3 linked regions of the Drosophila melanogaster genome follow. Changing the gene in region 2 together with the main gene of any one other region gives a genetic interaction. Each region holds a gene or a part of one and is shown on either strand. Other genes may lie near its edges. The genes, in order: pira, velo and Ulp1.

Region 1 (5,531 bases), on a different chromosome or scaffold from region 2:
CGCTTGACACACCAACAACAAATGAATGCTCACTTTCTTCGTTTCGGCTTTTGTTTGTTGTGGATTTTAATAAAAGCGACTACTTTTTATTTCGATCTATTTCGTATGCAGTTATTTCGATTCTTTTTCTTCTCTTTTATTTTTATTTTCTGCTGCTGCGGCGACGACACAACGCCGACGTCGACGGCGACGCGAAAACGACGTTGCGCTGCGTTTGCTGAGAATTTCCGTTACCGGCGTTCGAGCGACTTTCGTGGCAACTAGCGGTACCGAAATATCGAAGCTAACATCGATGCATCGATGTTTTTATCGATTTTCCGAAACATCGATGTCTATTTTTTTTTTTCATCGCTATTCGAAGACTCAGAAAACGAATTTCTTCAAATTTAAATTTATTCAATTTCAGTTATTAGCATGCAATCTTAAAATTGTATATGCATTTTCAATTTGTAGTGGAGGCCAAAAAATTTCCGATCAATTGATTTCCGACAAACTTATGTTTATCAATACCAGTTTAAGATTATGCATCTGAAAATATATCTTATTTTTTTTAATTTTATTATATTAATATTTGTTTTATATTAAATTACAAAAAAATTAAATTTAATAATAAATAAATGTTCTTTCTTTTTCAACAAGTGTAAATAAAAATATTATAGTCTGCAAATATCGATAGACGGCTAATTGTTGGGTATCGATAGCGAGCGGTGTGTGCGTCCGCGCTGCATGGAGCTGGCATTGGGTTTGAGTCTCAGCTTTGGAACTAAAAAGCATGAACTAAAAACATCGTTTCGAGAATTAATTGAGAATTAAATATTAAAGTCCCGCGTATTTAAAAAAAAAATAAAGCTGTTAGTTAAATATGACATCTTCTCTGCGAACGGTTTGGTTAGAGCAAACAAAAAAGTTTATATGACTACAACGAAAAATTCAATTTAATAAAGAACTAACGGAAAACATAGCATAAGTTTTTCCCGAAAAATATGATGTACTCAGCTGGATATTTAAAAATAGAGCAGGCTTGTTGTATTATTTACATATGCATTTTCCACGTGCTTAAATGTTAAATATATTTTAAATAATATATATAATTAATATATGCATAAGAAAAAACAATTCGAATAAAAATATATTTTGCAAAATATATTACTGCAGCCAGCACAGATATGACACTATTTAGTAAAGTATATACAGTAGTAGTAATAGTAAATTTGTAAATGTAAAACAAAAGCCAGTTTCCAGTTGCTTCACATTTAAGGAATTCGACTTGGCAAACTTTCTGACAGCTAACAACGTTGTGATTTAGATGCGTTTTTCCGCACTTGGCAACCGATGCAAATTGCGAAATGGAGCCCTTTGGCCCGCGGAAAGGAAAACGTGTGTGTGTCTGTCAGTTGTTTTTTTTTTTTTTTTATAAATACGCTCTTGGCAAAAAACAAAAAAACAATAATATTTTTGTTTACATTTGATTTTCTTATCGCCGCCAAGCGATCCATGTGGTGAGAGGAGCTCAATGCTGACGACTAAAAATCGGACAGGTGGACCCGATGACGGACGCACAACTATAATTTGATTAATGTCTGTACTTGTATTTGCAAAATGTTGAAATTAAAACGAGAATAAATTTTTGGTTTTTAAAAATTCCCATACAAAGAACTTGCAACAAACGGCTGAACTTATAACTTTGTAAATACCACATGTAAGAATACTAATACTTGTAAATGAAAAGCAAAGAACTTAGCTTAGCTAAGATTCGCTTAAATGCCTATATTTCGTCAGTTCAAATATTATTTAATTTCAATATTCGCAACATTCAAATTTCAAAGCGGACTATCGATACATATTTTTAAAAACACCCCACAAAATCCATACCAATTGGAAACATATACATATGTATCGATATGAGCAGCAAAACTCCGATGGCGATAGCAACTCGCACAGATGATTTTTGGATACAGCACTTGGGACGCCGTTTACCCCAACAATAAAAATAGACAGATATCAAATATCGCATAAAACACACAGATTGGAAAATGAAAGGAATATAGTGATCAAAGTCACCGTGTTAGGTGACTCTTCAACCATCCAGTTAACTTTGCACATCAAGCAGCCCGAGAATTTGCAATCGAAACGAGAAACTTCAGTTCAGTCAGATCAGCCCATATAACGTACATATGTTATACTATTGAATCCGGCTCCAAAATGGATCGCAAAGAAACTGTTTCGAAGGACCAAGCGGTACGTCGAATTGCCCATAATGACTTTATATTAGTCTCACGTCAATTGCTGATCAATCGAGCCGACACGGATCCGGACAAAGGAAGTGCCAGGATGTTGATTATCTACAGCAGTGGAAAGCAGCACATCGTCACCTTCAAGCTGCCGAATCTTGCGTGTAGGGTGCAGGATCTGTTTTTCCAAATGGACCTTCAGATCGATGAGAGCACCACGATTGATTGCATTGAGAATGCCGGCGGTATTATCCATTTGGTTGTCTCTGTGGGCTTCCCCATCAGTGATAACATTGCCGAGACGGTTGCCCATGCGGAGGAGTTCTATAGGAAGGTGCATCAGTCAAAGGCATCATCGGCTGATGCCGCTCCACCCAATGCGATGGCCGGTGAAGAGCACTCCCCTGCGGTTGTCAAACCATCAGAGACTGCGGTGGCCAACAATGGTTGCCAGCCAGCTGCAAGTGCAACCAAAGGCAAGAAGCACAAGAAAAGTCCTTGCGGGAGTCCGGGAGAAAACAATGATGGCCAAGTGATATTGTCGGCGGATCAAGACGCCAATACTAATACCAAGGCCAAGAAACAGAAGAAGTGCCATATTGCAAAGGATAACAATGGAATTCAAGCTGCTAGTTCTCATGACAACCCTAGTTCATCTGGCAATAAACAGGGAAGTCACAACTCCACGGCTATAACCTCCAATTCTACAATGACGAGTAATGGTCTTCGGGGCGTGCAACCAGCTGAAGATGCTCCCGCAATCTCCCAGTGGATCCAGTCGAGGAACAATGCCGCTGTTAGCAAGAAATCGGAAGAGACAGCTGGTGGATCTCAATCGCGGGTGCAATCGAATGTTGCATCCATATCCTCGCCAGCGGTGAAAGCAACTAGCGACGCTGCTATACCCACACCAGCAGAACGCGCAGAGCGTAGTCGCCTGCGCCGAAATCGCAATTGGATACTAAGCAGGGACGTTGATGAAGATGCCGTGGTGCTGGTGAGCAGCGGTGATGAGGAGACCACCGCCGCCGATGATGGCCAAACCGAGAGAAGACTTTCACCCGATGAGAATCAAACCCTTTTCACATATCCGCCAACTGGTACCGGTGGCCTGAGCATCACCATCAAGGACTTTATGTGTCTCAGTAAAGGATCGTATCTGAACGATATAATCATTGATTTTTATCTGCGCTGGCTAAAGAATAACATCATACCAGAGGAACAGCGCGATAGGACGCATATCTTTAGCACGTTTTTCCACAAAAGATTGACCACACGAACGAATCCCAGAAATACGAAGCAGACGGCGGCCCAGAAGCGTCACGAAAGGGTTGAGAAGTGGACACGAAACGTCAATATATTCGACAAGGACTTCATTATAATACCATTCAATGAGCAGTCCCATTGGATACTGGCCATTATATGTTATCCAAACCTTAGAAGCCCGGTGGTAAACAATAATAATGTGCAGACGACACTCAGTGATGATATTCCCATCAAACAGCCGTTGATACTTATTTTCGATTCGTTGGCAGTCACCTCAAGACATCGAGCGATTGCCATATTGCGGGATTATCTCACCTGTGAGCACAAGGCCAAGTATCCGAATGCGCTGGCGCATGTCTTTAACAAGGATAATATGCCCGGTCATAGTGTGGAGGTGCCGCAACAGCAGAATCTTACAGATTGCGGCCTCTATCTGCTGCAATATGTGGAGCAATTCTTCACAAAACCCATCAACGACTATACACTGCCCATTAAGGAGCTGAGCAATTGGTTTGACCTGCTCACAGTAACCAAGAAGCGTGAGGATATCGCTAATCTCATCAAGAAGCTTATGAATGAAAGCAATCAGCAGCGCAAAATTTTGCCGGTCATTAAGTTTCCGACATTAAATGGCCAACTGGTGATGGATGAGGAGGATAGCGAGGAGGAGAATTCTAAAGAGGAGCATAAAACTACGTTGGTTTGTTCAAAAGACAGAAAACCGCCGAGGAGAAGGAATACACTCAAATAAACCACTTGTGAGAGAAGTGAAAATACATATATTTTCTACAAAACAACTGAACTGAAGACGATCGCAACGCAATGCTTTGGAACACTAGGAGGAGCAAATTGACACGGCGGAGATGGGTTCACCAGAAATATACGTTTTTTCCCTCAAGGAAAAGTTTCATACACACATACAATCACCAAAAAGAGCAGTTCAGCCAACAAGACGATAAAGAGGCTACCTACTGGAGAGATAGAGACAGAGACAAAGACAGAGATCAGGATCACAGGATGAGCATGTTAGGCAGGACGAGGTGGATGTCAGGAGTTGGAGAATGGACAAAAATCAAGAAAAATTCAAAATTCAGAAAGTCACCAAATGAATAGAAAATATTTTAGAAACAAAATTTGTAAATAAAATGCGACAATAAAATTTGTCACGCATAAGCAAAGCTTTATAGATTGCCAAAAAATGTACATATGTATGTATGTACATAAGTACATAAGTTGCCCCGCGCGGTGTTCATCGGCCATTTGGGAAACTGCAGGGTATTACCAATCAGCATTATACTCGACTCTAAGCCCACACACACACCCACACGCAAGCACACACACGCGAGCGCAAACACATGGATCTCTTTGCATTGGTGTTGGGGTTCGGCGATAAGAAAATCGAGCCATAAAGTCGCGCCGGCGATTCTATAGACGCTCAGTTGCTTTGGAGCGATTCTTTGATGCAGACGAACATCGGAGTTTGCGGATTGTAATAATAGAGCCAAGCGGAGAGAGCGAAAAAGACAGAGAGAGAGATAGAGAGCGAGAGCGAGAGGGAAGGCACCAGCGAATATCGAGCATAAAGCAAAGCCCGCAACACGTGAAACAGCCAGCAGCCAATTGATTTCAATTTCGATTCTTAAAGTGAAGTGACCAACAACGTGCGATTAACGAGATGTCCACCACCACAACAGCATCCAGTAAGTTTATCCATCGCCAAGGTTTCCAAATAAACAATTGTTGTGCCTAGAACGTAAATAGTACCAAAGCTACCATCTTTTATTCGATCTTTCATCAATAAAAGACAAGCTTAATGTGATGGAAAGCAAGACAGTTGTTTATGTTTTCCCGCCAGCCTTGGATTTATTTAAACAGTTATTCGGGTTACTCAAAAAAATAAAACAACGGAATATTTTCCTGGTTCTGATAATATTTTAATGCTGTTTATTGAGCTGTCTGCTGTAAACAAGAAGGCTGGCTTTCCATTGTTTAAATCAAGATAATTGTGGATTTCGTAAACAAGTTGTCTTTCCA
Region 2 (4,939 bases):
AAATGAGGTTTCTTTAGGTTTTGCAATATAAAAACATTTATTAATTTGCTTACTTACTTTACCCTTCGCAGAATGCCAACAAACCGAAACCACAACCCCGATCCAAGCTGCCACCGGGTAATCCCACGCTACCAAGTGCTCCTCCGGCATTGGACTTCCCCTCGCTGCCCAACGTTCCCAACGATCTGCCAGATATTCCGGGCGCAGGTGCCGAGAAGAAGAACGACGAGGATGAGATTGATTTCGATGACCTGTCACGTCGCTTCGAGAACCTTAAGAAGCGAAAGTAAAGCTGGCCAGCAGATCACCTTTTAAGTCTACAGTATATTTGTTATAATCTCTGTCCTGTTCTACATTAATAATCACGTATATGTGTAAGGAACTATTGATCATTTTGTTTTTTCGATTAAGTAGTTAATCAGACTTCAAAAATGTATAATCTGAATTGAAAGATGGTTGACCTATTGCTTTTCATATTCGCAATCTTGATTCATCTAAAAACAGCCTAAAGATTAAAATACTAACAGATTAAATTCTGTGTACTTATCAGCTTTATGTTTCACATAAATATCAACAAGATTACAAAGAAAAACAAAAAATTTTAAAGGGATTGTATTGCCTAGAAGAGTTCCTCGCTCTCCACCACTTCCTTCAGCTCGAGCAGCTCCAGCAGTCCCTTACCCTTCGTTTCGTTCCTTACCAGCTCATCAATGACACGATATTGGCCAGGATCTATGAGCAAGGTTAAGTGCAAGGTGGCCTCGTCCCATTCCTCGTGCTCCACTGCGTTGGCCAACTTGACCACCGATTCCTTGAGCTTGCCACCGCCCTCCTTTCCAGCAAAGCTAACGCGCAGCTTCATGCGCGACCTCTCGATGGGCATATGGTCCTTGAGAATCTTGATGGCCTCCAGTGTGTTCTGCTTGGTGTTCCTGTTCATCTTAACGGAGAAGTGGGCATCCTTCAGGGATTTCTCGATGATGGAGGCGGGATATGGACGACGCGTCTCTGGATTTACACACAACGCAGCCACGGAATTAACTATACTATTTAGTTGCGTGTCCAGACAACTTTGGCGCTCCTTTTCCGACACCTGCAGTTCTCCTTTGCTGAGGATCTCCTTGCAAATCTCAGTCTCGTCTGTTTTATTGAAGGCCTTTTGCAGCTCGTCCTTTTTGGCCGCCTGTCCTTTGGAGACATTGGTGAACACGGTATGGGTTTGCAGGACCTCATCGATGTCCTTTTCGCTAAGCATATACAATAAAGTAATTAGATTTAGGTAAAGCCTATTTCACAATCTGCACGTGTTGCATTTAGCGGCTGTTACCTGTTGCTCCTCCACGAAAGAACCTTATTTTTATAGCAGGCGATCTCAAATCGCTTGCCACCTTTTTTTAGCCTCACAATGGCGACATTTGTGAGGCGTATTTGATTTGTGGGCGTGAATATTTTGGACATTGTTGTTAAAATACAAGCTGCGGAATTAGCGATGTGCAAGTAAACCAAAACACTTTCGATCGAACCAAACGATGAATGGCAAAAAATCAAACATTTATATATCCCGTAGTTGTGAAATCATTGAAATTTCCTTTGATGTACAGTTTGATAAAAAATTTTGTTCACAATATACAAAACTGCATAACAGCTTTCTATTAAAAACATACTTATAATATATATATTTAGATGGATTTTATTTATGTATATTTTTTTTGTTGAAATTTTTTTCACCGCTACCCACAATTTTCCGAGCTATCGAGTTTTTCTACTTATCGACGTTTTACCATCACAACGACGTTGTTGTTGTTCCTTCGCCACTCTTCTTCTTCTTCTTCTTCCTCACCCAATTCGCCAGAGCGCGCAGCAAACAACAAAACACATAGTGCTCAAAACCGCGATATCAACGGTCGCTAAAAATCGTTATCAATCGCCTTTCGCTAAATAACAGCATAATGTGCAACAAAATCATGGAAATCACCGAAACAGCGCGTTCAGTGCGAAAAACTAAAGATTTTAAGACAACTCCAGTGGCTCGACCGTTTAGTGGTCCCTTTAAACTGGCTACATGCCAAACAGAGGGACCTCTAAACATTAGGCGAAGAGGACGGCACAAGGCAGACATCGATAAATCAGCGGCCCAAAGCAACGCTGCAAAATGTTTATGAACAGCTGATGGGCCCGCCAGGGGGCGCTCGCGTTTCGTCATTGCCAGATAAAATAAATATCAAATGCTGCCTTTAATGGTGAACGCCATTTTTATTGCAAGAAAGAAAGCCACGGGTTTCAAGCAAAAACGCGAATAATTAACGTGTGTTTATTGTAAAAAGACAGCGCGATTATGATCTAATCAAAGAACAACTGGATCGAGCCGAGGGCACAGCGATTGGCTCCAAAAAGTTCCCATTCTCGTAAGATTAACGGAGGTGTGTAGGTTGGGAATGCCAACAAAAAAAAAATTATGCTCAAAAAGTGACCTGTAATTGTATAATAAATGTGCCTTAAAAAAGTTAAATATATTGCAAAATTACATAGGAATTAATTTATACAATTGGTCAACCGCATATTGTACAAGTTTCTGCTCGGAAAATGGTAGAAATCACATTTTTCTACTGCGATTTTGTGTGTGTGTTGTTCTTGAGGGCTCTGTAAAAGTCTCAAAAATGCAACGCCTGCAAAAAAGAGCAAAAATTCTCACAAAAGTGACAAAACTTGTTTGCATTCTTATTTAATTTTATACTTTAACACTTATATTCCTTACCGAGGTTATATTAAAATAAATGTGAAGGAATTAACGATGTCCTCATACTGAGACGCAAAAATATAACCTTAAAGAGTACACAAAATGTTTAAGTATCTTAATTATGCTACATACAGTGCAAAGTTTAACCAGTTAACGTTTTCTTTATCTAGGTGCATTGTTGTTGTAATGTAATTTAATTAAAATATATAATACGACTTATAAGAAATTGCATATAATTAAAAAAATATTCCAAAAAGAAAACAAAAAAATGTAATTGAAGAAAAGATCATATTAATTAAAATTTAACAGTACTTTTTGGGCCTAGGGAATTAGTGAAAAAATAGTATATATCTAAAATTCTAACTGATTTTCTACCCCTTCCAGCTGCCTTGAAATGGAGCAGTATATTGTGCCCCTGGAGGAGCCAGTCTACTCTGATTTGCAAGTAGTGCAAGTGCCCCAAGATGAGGTTGGGGTGAGTAGTATCCGAAGCCCTCGGTGAATAGCAAGCTAATTTCTTGTTTCTTTCAGTCCCTGGTCCTACAGGATGACCAGCAGCTGGTGTTCAACGACCAGCAGCAAGTTGTCTACCAGACGACGGCCCCAGCGCAATATCAACAGCCCCAGCAGTCTGCGGCACCCACATACCACATAATCGGTGGCGATGATCTTGCACATCAGCAGCAACAGCACCAACAGCAGCAGCAGCAACAACAACAGCAGCAGCAGCAACAACAACAACCGCAGCAGCAGCACCAACAACAGCAACAACAAGTTGTAATGCATCATCAGCAGCATCAGGTGCAGCAAGTGCAGCAGGTTCACTATCAGCAGCAGCAACAGGAGCCCCAGCAGCAGCAGCAACAACTGCACATGGAGCAACAGCAGCAGCAGCAGCAGCAATATGTGCAGCATCAGCCGCAGCAACCCGCCATCCAGCATACACAGCAGATTTACTACACTTCAGAGCAAGTCCTGCAACCAAATGCCATTGTGCAGCATATGCAGCAGCAGAAGAAGCAGCAGCAAGTGCTGCAGCAACAGCAGCAGCAGCAGCAACAGTATCAACAACACGCACCCGCCTACCAAGTGCAATCGTCTCCCCAAGGGCAAGCCCAATTACTTCAGAGTTCCCAGCAGCAGCATCAGCAAGCGCAGCAGGCACAAACGTTGCAACTGCAGACGTCGCCACCCCAACAGCAACCGCAGCAGCACCAGCAGATCGTCTACCGCATGACCACCACACAGCAGCAACAAAGGCCCTTAGGGGTAAGTTAGGTTCCAAATAGCCCTGTATTTATCTTTCACTTGAAACATATTGATATCGATTTTCCAAATCCTAGATGCTCAACAATACGCACGTGATTGTCCAGCAGCAACCGGTATTGATCCAGGGCCCACAGCATCAGGAGCTGATTATGCGACAGGCCATACATCCGTACAACAATCGTGTAGTTTATGCCACTTCACCGCAACAGCAGCAGCAGCAACAACACGTCATCCAGCAGCACGTACAGCAGCAGCAAGTGCAGCAGCATCAGCAAGTCCAGCAACAACAGCAGATGCAACTGCAGCCCACGACTCAAACAGCCCATTTAGTTCAGGCTCGTGTGGTGCCACAGCAGACCCAAAATGTTGTCTACCAGCAGTTGCAGGTGCAAAAGGTGCAGCCGCAGCAACAGCAGCAGGCTCCACAGCAGCAGCAACCGCAATTGGTGGCTCAGCAGCAGCCGCAGCTAGTGGCCACCTCTGCTGCCGGTGGCACTCAACTAGTACGCGCCTCGTTTAGGAAATCGCCCCGAGGTGGAGCTGTGCTGGCCAGGCCGGGCACACTAATTACCACCAGGCCTACACTTACGCCCACAACAATTGTGCGGCAAGTTCGTCCGCGAGGAGGTGCAGTGCCCGGCGGACTGGTTAGGAATATGCGACCTGCGGGCGTACGACCCACTCGAGCGCAGTTGGTGGTGCAGACTAGCGCCAGCGGCGAGGGACAGACCATGCTAGTGACTCAGGGCCAAATGAAGCACATTACCATCAGCACGAATCTCGGCCAGCCGCAACAACAACAGCAGCAGCAGATGCAGCAACAGCCGCGCCACATCTACCGCACACACATGGTAACCGACGGAAATCCTCAGCAGCAGCAGCAGCAGGCGGCGCAACAGCAGCCGCAGCAGCACCAGCAAATGCTGATGATGC
Region 3 (7,795 bases), on a different chromosome or scaffold from region 2:
TTTAATATATATTTCTGTTTAGTTCGCTCTGCAAAAATAAATTATATTACATTATGTACCTTAGGTTATGAAAGGTGTACTACTTCCTAAGGGTTAGAGAAAATCTTTACAAAAACAAAACTAATACCATTAACCCACATTTACCTATATTTGTATAATAAGTATTTGCTTGAATAAGCTACATTTTCAAAAATACTAAATTAAGATTGATTCCTTATTAATATTATCTAATTTATAGGAATATAGCGACATTTTCTTTAAAAAAAAAAAAACCGATAAATTCAAAAATAAACTGGAGTATTAGTATGATTTTCAATTATCAGCGGCTCTGATCTTTTCAACTTAACGATATGAAACAGAAAAGACAATGTAAGAAAAAAATATGAAATCCAGTAATTCCTAGTTTAGAGTTAGGATTAGAGCAGTACATTACATTACATTAGTACATATTCATAGCTTGCTGTATTCTAAATATTAATTATAAACTTGAAGATATTCGGCGATTAATACATCCTTATTCGCATCGCTTTTACTTGGTGACATTTTATTGAAGAAATAGATTCTCTTTTACAATCAGATATGAGAACAAGTTAATGCACCAGCAGGGGTCTCAGCCATCTCGATTCTATCGAATAAACGAGTTCGTTCGATGGCTAAGTACTTGTCGCGAATTCATGCTTGGAGTGTTTACGTAAGATTTGTAAAAATAAGTAAAGAACTGAATTCTCCATTTTTGCGTAGTTTTGTGCTTGAACCCCTACTGCCACAACTTTCCGTCGGCGATTTCCAGGGCCATCTTCGTGCGGAAGTACAACATTTCCGCCTGGGAGAAGGTAATCGGAACATCACGCGTTATATACTCGGCGAACATGCAGCTGAAGACACCGCAATCGCTGCTATTCCCTTGACGTGGTATATTCTGCGCGTTCTCGACAACGAAACCGGTCATATCAAACGGCTGTTTGCGCTTGTCTAGTGACTCTTCGTGCAGATATTTAACTAGAGCATCAAGCGCCGGTTGGTTTGGTCTTCCCATTGAGTCGTAATAGAAGATTGTCTTGTTACGCAAGTGTATGATGGCCATGCACCAGTGGACGTTGCCGCAGTGCACTGGCACCGGTATTATGTCCTTGCTGAACAAGTCCACTTTGCGAGTCCAGCGCCTAACGCCTGCATACCCAGCTTGCAGGAGACGGGGCATGAAGAATGTGTTCATGGCGTAAGTGGCGGGAAGTTCGCCAGCTCGCTTCTCCGAGCGTTCCGTCAGCATGGACATGTAAAAGTTGATGATCGCGTCGTTAAGCCATTCGCCATCAACAAACGTGAATATGTCGTCGGTAGTTATTTGTAGGTTATATTTGAAAATTAAGTTCTGAAATAAGATTTTAAAGCGCAAGCATATAAACGTTTTAAATGGGTACACATATAAATAAATAAATATATTCGTTTACCGTCGTAACCTCAATAGTTGTCATTTCTTGAAAGCGAGCGTGGTCCTCCTTTGTTAGCGGAATGAGCTTGGTCTCTTTCTTCTCTTCCGGCTGTTCCAGGGGCCCGATTTCAAAAAAGGGCCGGTGGGGAGCACCAGACCGGAACATGACTTCCCGCAGCTTTTTTTCATAGGCAAGGCGTTCATCTTTGCTTTCATTAGCCCTAAAATTGGAAAAAAGCCTCTTGGTACTGGGCCTAATTATAGCGTTACAAATACTTACTGCTGTTCAGCTATTCCAAGAAGATGCATGGATTCAAGTTGCCGGCGATTCGCTCTTGCTTTGAAATTTTCCGCAAAGTCATTCCTTAGAAAGATACAGTTGGCAAAGCGACGGTGCAAGAAGTCTGGTTTCTTGATTCTGGTAGTTGTAGGTTGAGGTGCGTCACTAATTGGTGATAAAATCAGGATTTTTGATTATTGCAAATTATTTACGTTTGGATATAAAGCATTTATTTACTTTTCCTTGGTTTCGTTGGCTTCGTTGGCTTCGTTGGCCTCGTTGGCTTCGTTGGCTTCCTTGACCTCCGGGCTATCTTTAACCAACATTGGCTCAGTGTCAGAAGATGAGCAAGTTGAACAAGTGCTGCAGGAGGAAGATGCGCTGCTGGAAATAGTGGACGCATGGCTGGCAGAGCTATTGCTAGCGTTTCGCTTTGGCTGCTGTGGTGCCGGAGACCTGTTCTCCTCATTCTCCTGGCGGTTGATCAATTTGGCGTACTCCGTTAGCTCAGGGTTCGCACGGCCATGTGGCGACGGGAACGAATCTGTTATATTCGATTGGTTGTCTTGCAGTGAGCAGCTGCTACTGGTTGCCGACTGGGCTTTAGCCCGCTGAAACGTTGGCGGGGTACCCGGCTTGAGGTAGCGACTGCCCACGTAATTTGTTTGGGTACGGATAAGTTCGTTATACTGCTCTTGATCCTTGCAGTTCATCTCGTGGGACAGAATGCTTCTGTGCAGCCGAGACGGTTCTCTGCGCACCGTATGGCTGGAGTGCCCATTTACGCGCGACTCGGAGATGCCATTATGGCCTAGACGCACCGCATCCGAGTAAGTCATGGGCCTGGATGATGGGCCCGCGTTAGCAAGTCTCTGTGACGACTCCTCATCGTCAAATGGCGTAGGTACGTGGGGGGCATCATTGCGCACTCGGTGCTGCGTGTATACCGGCGGATTAAATATTGAGAGCCGCTTTGAGCTCTGGGGCTGATCCCGCTTGGCCATCGAATTGTTGGGAATCAGGTCCTCGGCCGTCTCATTCGTTATCAAGCGGGGAAAGCTGTTGTCCACACGCCGGTACTTGATCAGACGAGGGTTCTCTTCTTGGTTGCTGAAAGTAGAGAAAAAACATTAATTGAAATTTTTACATGGGAGTAGCAATGAATGACATAAAATTGTTGCGCAGGCTTACCTAGTTGGATTTAGGTAAACAAAATTAAAAATAACATAAAATTCTTAATGCTTACCGTCTTTTCTGGGATAAAAAACTATTTTCCGGCTGGCGGCCGGCACCAAAACCTTTTCCGTTTTGAGCCTGGAATCCCGTTCCGGTATCCGTGGAGTCCGTTTCGCTTTCTCTGGAAGAATACCAACCGGATAGCATACCACGGATCTTTTTTAATATTTCTAAGCCCATCGAAATGTCTTCTTGGAGGTCTCTTTTCGGCGTGGGGCGTGGAGGTATTTCCTTAGTTTGCTCGAGAATCTCTCTCAGAATGGAGATGATCTCATCGGTGGCCCGGCCGTGTATAATTTCGGTTAGAACCTTATGGCACACATCGGCTAGCTTCTGGCGGAGAAGGAAAATTGACTTCCGGTGGGCTTCGGCTTCGGGTTGCTCTGGATCGGCCACCAGACTTTCAGAGATATCGCGAATTAGATTGAAGGTTTTGCGAATACAAATAGTGCTCGGATCGAGTGACTCTAGCTGCTCCCAATGTTCAGGTGAAACGGGGTCTGATATATCTTCTGAAGTAGATCCTGGTTGAGCTTCAGCGGGCGGTAATGGTGTCGAGACCTCATCAACAAAGTTCTGATGCTCGTGGCCTGTGTAACTAACCAGTTCTCTGTCCCGTTGGCCTTCGTTTACCTCGTATGCTGGTTGAACCTCAAAACTGTTTTCCTGGGATATTTCCAATTGAGGTACGTACGGAGTCGCAGTTTGTATAGTTTGTATATACTGGACCTTAGAATAAGCCTGGTTAGAGTGGATGGTGAATTCCTGCTGAATATACTGCCTCTCTTGGATATGATCTTTCTGACCTTTCTGCTGGTATTCAGAAAAGGGCTGCAACTTTCTCTTTTTGACCTTAGATTCGAACTGGTGGGTTTGCTTCTGGATCTGTGGTACACTCAGCTGATCTTGCTTCTGGAGCTGGAATTGTTGGTTCCCCTCAAAATTCAGGTAATGTTGATCTTCCTCTTGGTCTTCCGGTGTTAACTGCTCGTTTTCCTCCTGGATGTATGTTGCGAACGGGATGTCGGTTACATTGTGATAATTTTGTTTGTGAGTGTCAGTAACAATCTGCAGATCTCGCTTCTCGATTTCAGATGCGAACTGGAACCTTTCCTTTTGGAGCTCGGCTGTTTGTTGATCTTGCTCCTGATTATCAGATGCGAACTTTAGATCTTCATTATCATAATGGATCTCGATTACGAACTGAGGACTTTGTTGGTTTTTCTCCTGGATTTCAGGTATAGTGTGCAGATCATCAGATTCGAACTTTAGATCTTCATCATCGTCATCCTGGATCTCGATTACGGACTGAGGACTTTGTGCCTGTATATCAGTAACAGAAGGAGATGCAAGCTTCGTAACTTCGGTTACGATCTGCTGGTTTTGCTCCTGAATCTCAGCAGAAAACGAGAGATTTTCCCATTGGATTTCGGAGACAGCCGAGTAATCCTCCTGGGTCTCGGTTATAGTCTGATGATTTTGCTCTTCAGTTACAATCTGGTGATTTTGCCCTTGAATATCAGACGAGGTCTGGAAAACGTTCACTTGGATTTCGGGGGCAGTCTGGTGAACTTCCTCCTGGATCTCCGTTACAGACTGGTGATTTTGCTCCTGGATCTCTATTACAACCTGAGGACTTTGTACCTGTATATCAGTAGTGACAGGAGATGCAATCTGAAGACATTTCTCTGGGATCTCGGTTAATGTCTGTTGGTTCTGGTCCTGAATCTCAGAGGCACGCGTGAGATTTTTTTCTTGGACTGCAAGGACAATCTGGTTTTCATCCCGGATCTCAGTTAAAGTCTGATCCTGAGCCTCAGTTGCAATCGGATGATTTTGTTCCGAGATGCCATTTTCAAATTTCTGATCTTGCTCCTGGATATTATTGATTTGAATTTCGGGGACAACCTGGTGGAATTGCTCCTGGCTCTCAGTTATAGTCTGGGGATTGTGCTCCACGATATGTAATATAATCGGTTGATTATTCTCGGAGGCCTGATCGCATAGTTGGATTCCCGTTCCTATATGAATGTTTTGTTGATATAGGACTGGCTGATTGTTGTACTGCTGGACATAATATGCGACCTGGTTGTTTTGGTCAAGATCGATCAGGGCATCAACTGTAAGGGTGATGGTCGGTAGTGATGGTGGTTCTGGCAAGGGGGATGGAAATCGCAGTCTTATCGGCGAATCTATCAATGGACAATTTTGCAGCTCATGGAGTTGATGTATTGGCGATCCATCTGGAGAGTAACGCTGATTCGGAACTGGGACACACCGCGGCAGCAGCGGCGAGTAGTTCTGGCTAGGGAACGTAAATCGTGAATCCCCTGGCGGGGAACAATACGCATTAGTGTTCAATGTCTCGAATGCCTGTTCAGTTGGCAATAAGTGCGATGTCGGGAGACCTTGGTTCTCCGCCCATAGGAGTTGTGTTGCTGTGGCGTTGGCTGCTGCTTCTTCCGATCCTCTTGGCGCTACTGACGGATTACCCCAACTTGGAAACGTGCTGCGGCGTGAGTCCACATGAGACGCGACGCGCTCAATCACGTTCGGGTGAGCTGCTGGCGACGGCGAAAATCGCTGTCCTACTGCCGAACCGACTACTCGTGCTGCCGACACATTGCTCGCGATTTGGAGTGCGGATTCGTATGCGGAATTTGTGGACAAATCGGTGTCCTCGGGAGGCAGCGACATGCGTGTGTTCGCTACCGCTTTCGCTACTTTTAGCTGCAAATTGAAATTTAATCAGAAATTATTTTTCCACACGCATTCGCTTTCAAGAATCGCAAGAAGAAGAATAAGCAAAAAAGGAAAACGAGCCGGCAAAAAGGAAGCCCGATTTTGCGCATTTTTCGCTGTTTTTCGCCGTCTTTGCTTGGTGCCACTTCTGCGGCCGCCGGAAAATGCCGACGCTGCTATTGCACCGCACTGAGTGCCACACCACAAGCGCCTTGCAACAAACACTTACCCCTTGGCCAGGTTTTAAACAATGTACACTTTTCACTGTGACTTGAGAAAATTTTCGCAACTTAGCTCGATGAAAATTGAGTAAAGAAAGAAAATTTCGGTTTTGGCGTACTGGTGCCTTAGTATGACCGTACAAGATATTGCTCTATAATACCAAACCAATCGATATCGGCCAACAGTGTTGGGTCTGGCTGCCGCATCATAGCAGGCAGCTTTCGTCACGCAGCGAATGTAATTACCTAGAAATATCTGAGGAAATAACGGCATTTAGTCTTACTGTAAAAATACGACAAATTCGGTGAAAAGGGAAATTTTTCGTCAATATTTTCCAATAATATTTCAATATTTTCAATATTTCTTACACAGCGAATTTTGTAAGAACATGCATTTTTTTTAGTGTGCGACAGATTTCTAAAAAATTGAACCAATCTCTAGAATGAACGCAACATTTTATACTTTTAAACTTATTTTAATCGGAAAAAAACTGTCCACATTTCCAAAGTACAGTAGTCAGCACAGCTTAATGGAAAAATAGCTAAAAGGCTATAGCTACTTCTGTAGCAGTTCTTTAGGGATATTTTAAAGGCCAGCATTCCATTCTTTTTTCAAATTGACGTAATAAGACTTTTAAGACTTATGTTAAAATGTATGTAGCTTGCTTATAGTTTATATATTTATTTATTAATATCACTGCACAAATACAACAACAACGTCAGCCACAGCAGCACACACACACACACACATACACGATGCCTTGTTGTGTGAGAGTGCGCGAATTCTTCAGTCCCTCAATCCTTGCTCTGGCAGCAGAAGAAGAGGAAGTTCCAGAGCAGCGTGGTAGTTCCGTAAAGGGCGCCGGCCAGTCCCACGGTGGCCTGGAAGGAGTACCGCTCCACCACCCAGTGGGCCAGCGCGCCCCAGAGGAGAACCAGCAGGCCGTTGGTGAAGTGCACCGGACGGCGGATGGCCGTCCAGTTGGCCCGCGTCATGCCCATCTGGAAGACCAGCTCCTGCAGAAAGGCGGTCACCACCTGGCCAAATCCCAGCAGCACGGCGGACACACTGAGCAGCAGCTTGGAGGTGGAGAAGCTGATGACTGGAAGCGAAACAAAAGATGGATCTATTGATGGCCCGGGGAAAGCTTGAAACGGGTATCATGACTCACAGATCAGCGCCAGGCACTTGCAGATGCTGCCCAGCGTGTGCCACTGGAGCTTCCGCTTATAGAGGCTCGTGCCGAAGCGCGGAGTCATCAGGGAGAAGCACATCCATGGGAAGGCCAGCAGCGAGAAGAGGAACGGGATCTCGGCGTTCTTCAGCGCATGGTGGCTGACCGCCAGTCCGGGTAGCACCGTCAGGCACATCACGTAGCTAAAGATGTCCGCCGAGAGGAGCAGCGTGGTGGCGTACAGCTGCGGCACCAGCAGCGCCTGCTGCAGCGGCATGGCGATCTTGTCCAGCAGATTCCACCACAGGTGCGTGGTTACCGCACGCGACATCCGCCGGATGCGGCGCTGAAAATGAGGAGCATACGGAAAGGTTTCACATCCGGTCACCATATTCCACAAAGCCTGCGCACTACTCACCAGGTTGGCATAATCGGGAGGTAGGGGTGAGGAGCTACCTGTACCAGTTCCCGTTCCTGTGCCCAAAGGATGCTGGGGCGTCAGTGGATAGAGACGTCCATTGGACAGGGACTTGTGCGACATCTGCGAGGCGGACATGGCATAATTGTCGATGGTCGCATTGCTCGACCGCATCATGGACACCGTCTCGTCCTCCTCGGGTATGATCTCCATAATCTCCACCCCGTTGGGATTCACATACGTCACATACGCCTCATCGGTGGCCAGCATGTAGTTGCTGTGCGTGTCCAC

Evidence for each region.
Region 1: of velo (region 2) and pira, changing one suppresses a phenotype caused by changing the other (phenotypic suppression), as found in Drosophila melanogaster (one study listed by BioGRID).
Region 3: of velo (region 2) and Ulp1, changing one suppresses a phenotype caused by changing the other (phenotypic suppression), as found in Drosophila melanogaster (one study listed by BioGRID).

Annotation. Positions count from the first base shown.
Region 1 is NC_004354.4:12,760,015-12,765,545, reverse strand, and holds pira (pirate), read left to right. Parts: upstream 1-1,934; 5' UTR 1,935-2,202; coding exon 2,203-4,248; 3' UTR 4,249-4,904; downstream 4,905-5,531. Other genes in the region: PAICS bifunctional enzyme, read left to right, coding at 5,173-5,197.
Region 2 is NT_037436.4:6,749,626-6,754,564, reverse strand, and holds the start of velo (veloren), read left to right. Parts: upstream 1-1,812; 5' UTR 1,813-2,420; intron 2,421-3,121; 5' UTR 3,122-3,131; coding exon 3,132-3,212; intron 3,213-3,268; coding exon 3,269-4,006; intron 4,007-4,080; coding exon 4,081-4,939. Other genes in the region: Ist1, read left to right, coding at 72-290; SBDS ribosome maturation factor, read right to left, coding at 620-1,247, 1,328-1,458.
Region 3 is NC_004354.4:19,202,115-19,209,909, forward strand, and holds the start of Ulp1 (Ulp1), read right to left. Parts: upstream 6,074-7,795; 5' UTR 5,920-6,073; intron 5,679-5,919; 5' UTR 5,646-5,678; coding exon 2,959-5,645; intron 2,823-2,958; coding exon 1,950-2,822; intron 1,878-1,949; coding exon 1,713-1,877; intron 1,654-1,712; coding exon 1,452-1,653; intron 1,373-1,451; coding exon 758-1,372; 3' UTR 1-757. Other genes in the region: CG14195 (uncharacterized protein), read right to left, coding at 6,707-7,014, 7,084-7,432, 7,505-7,795.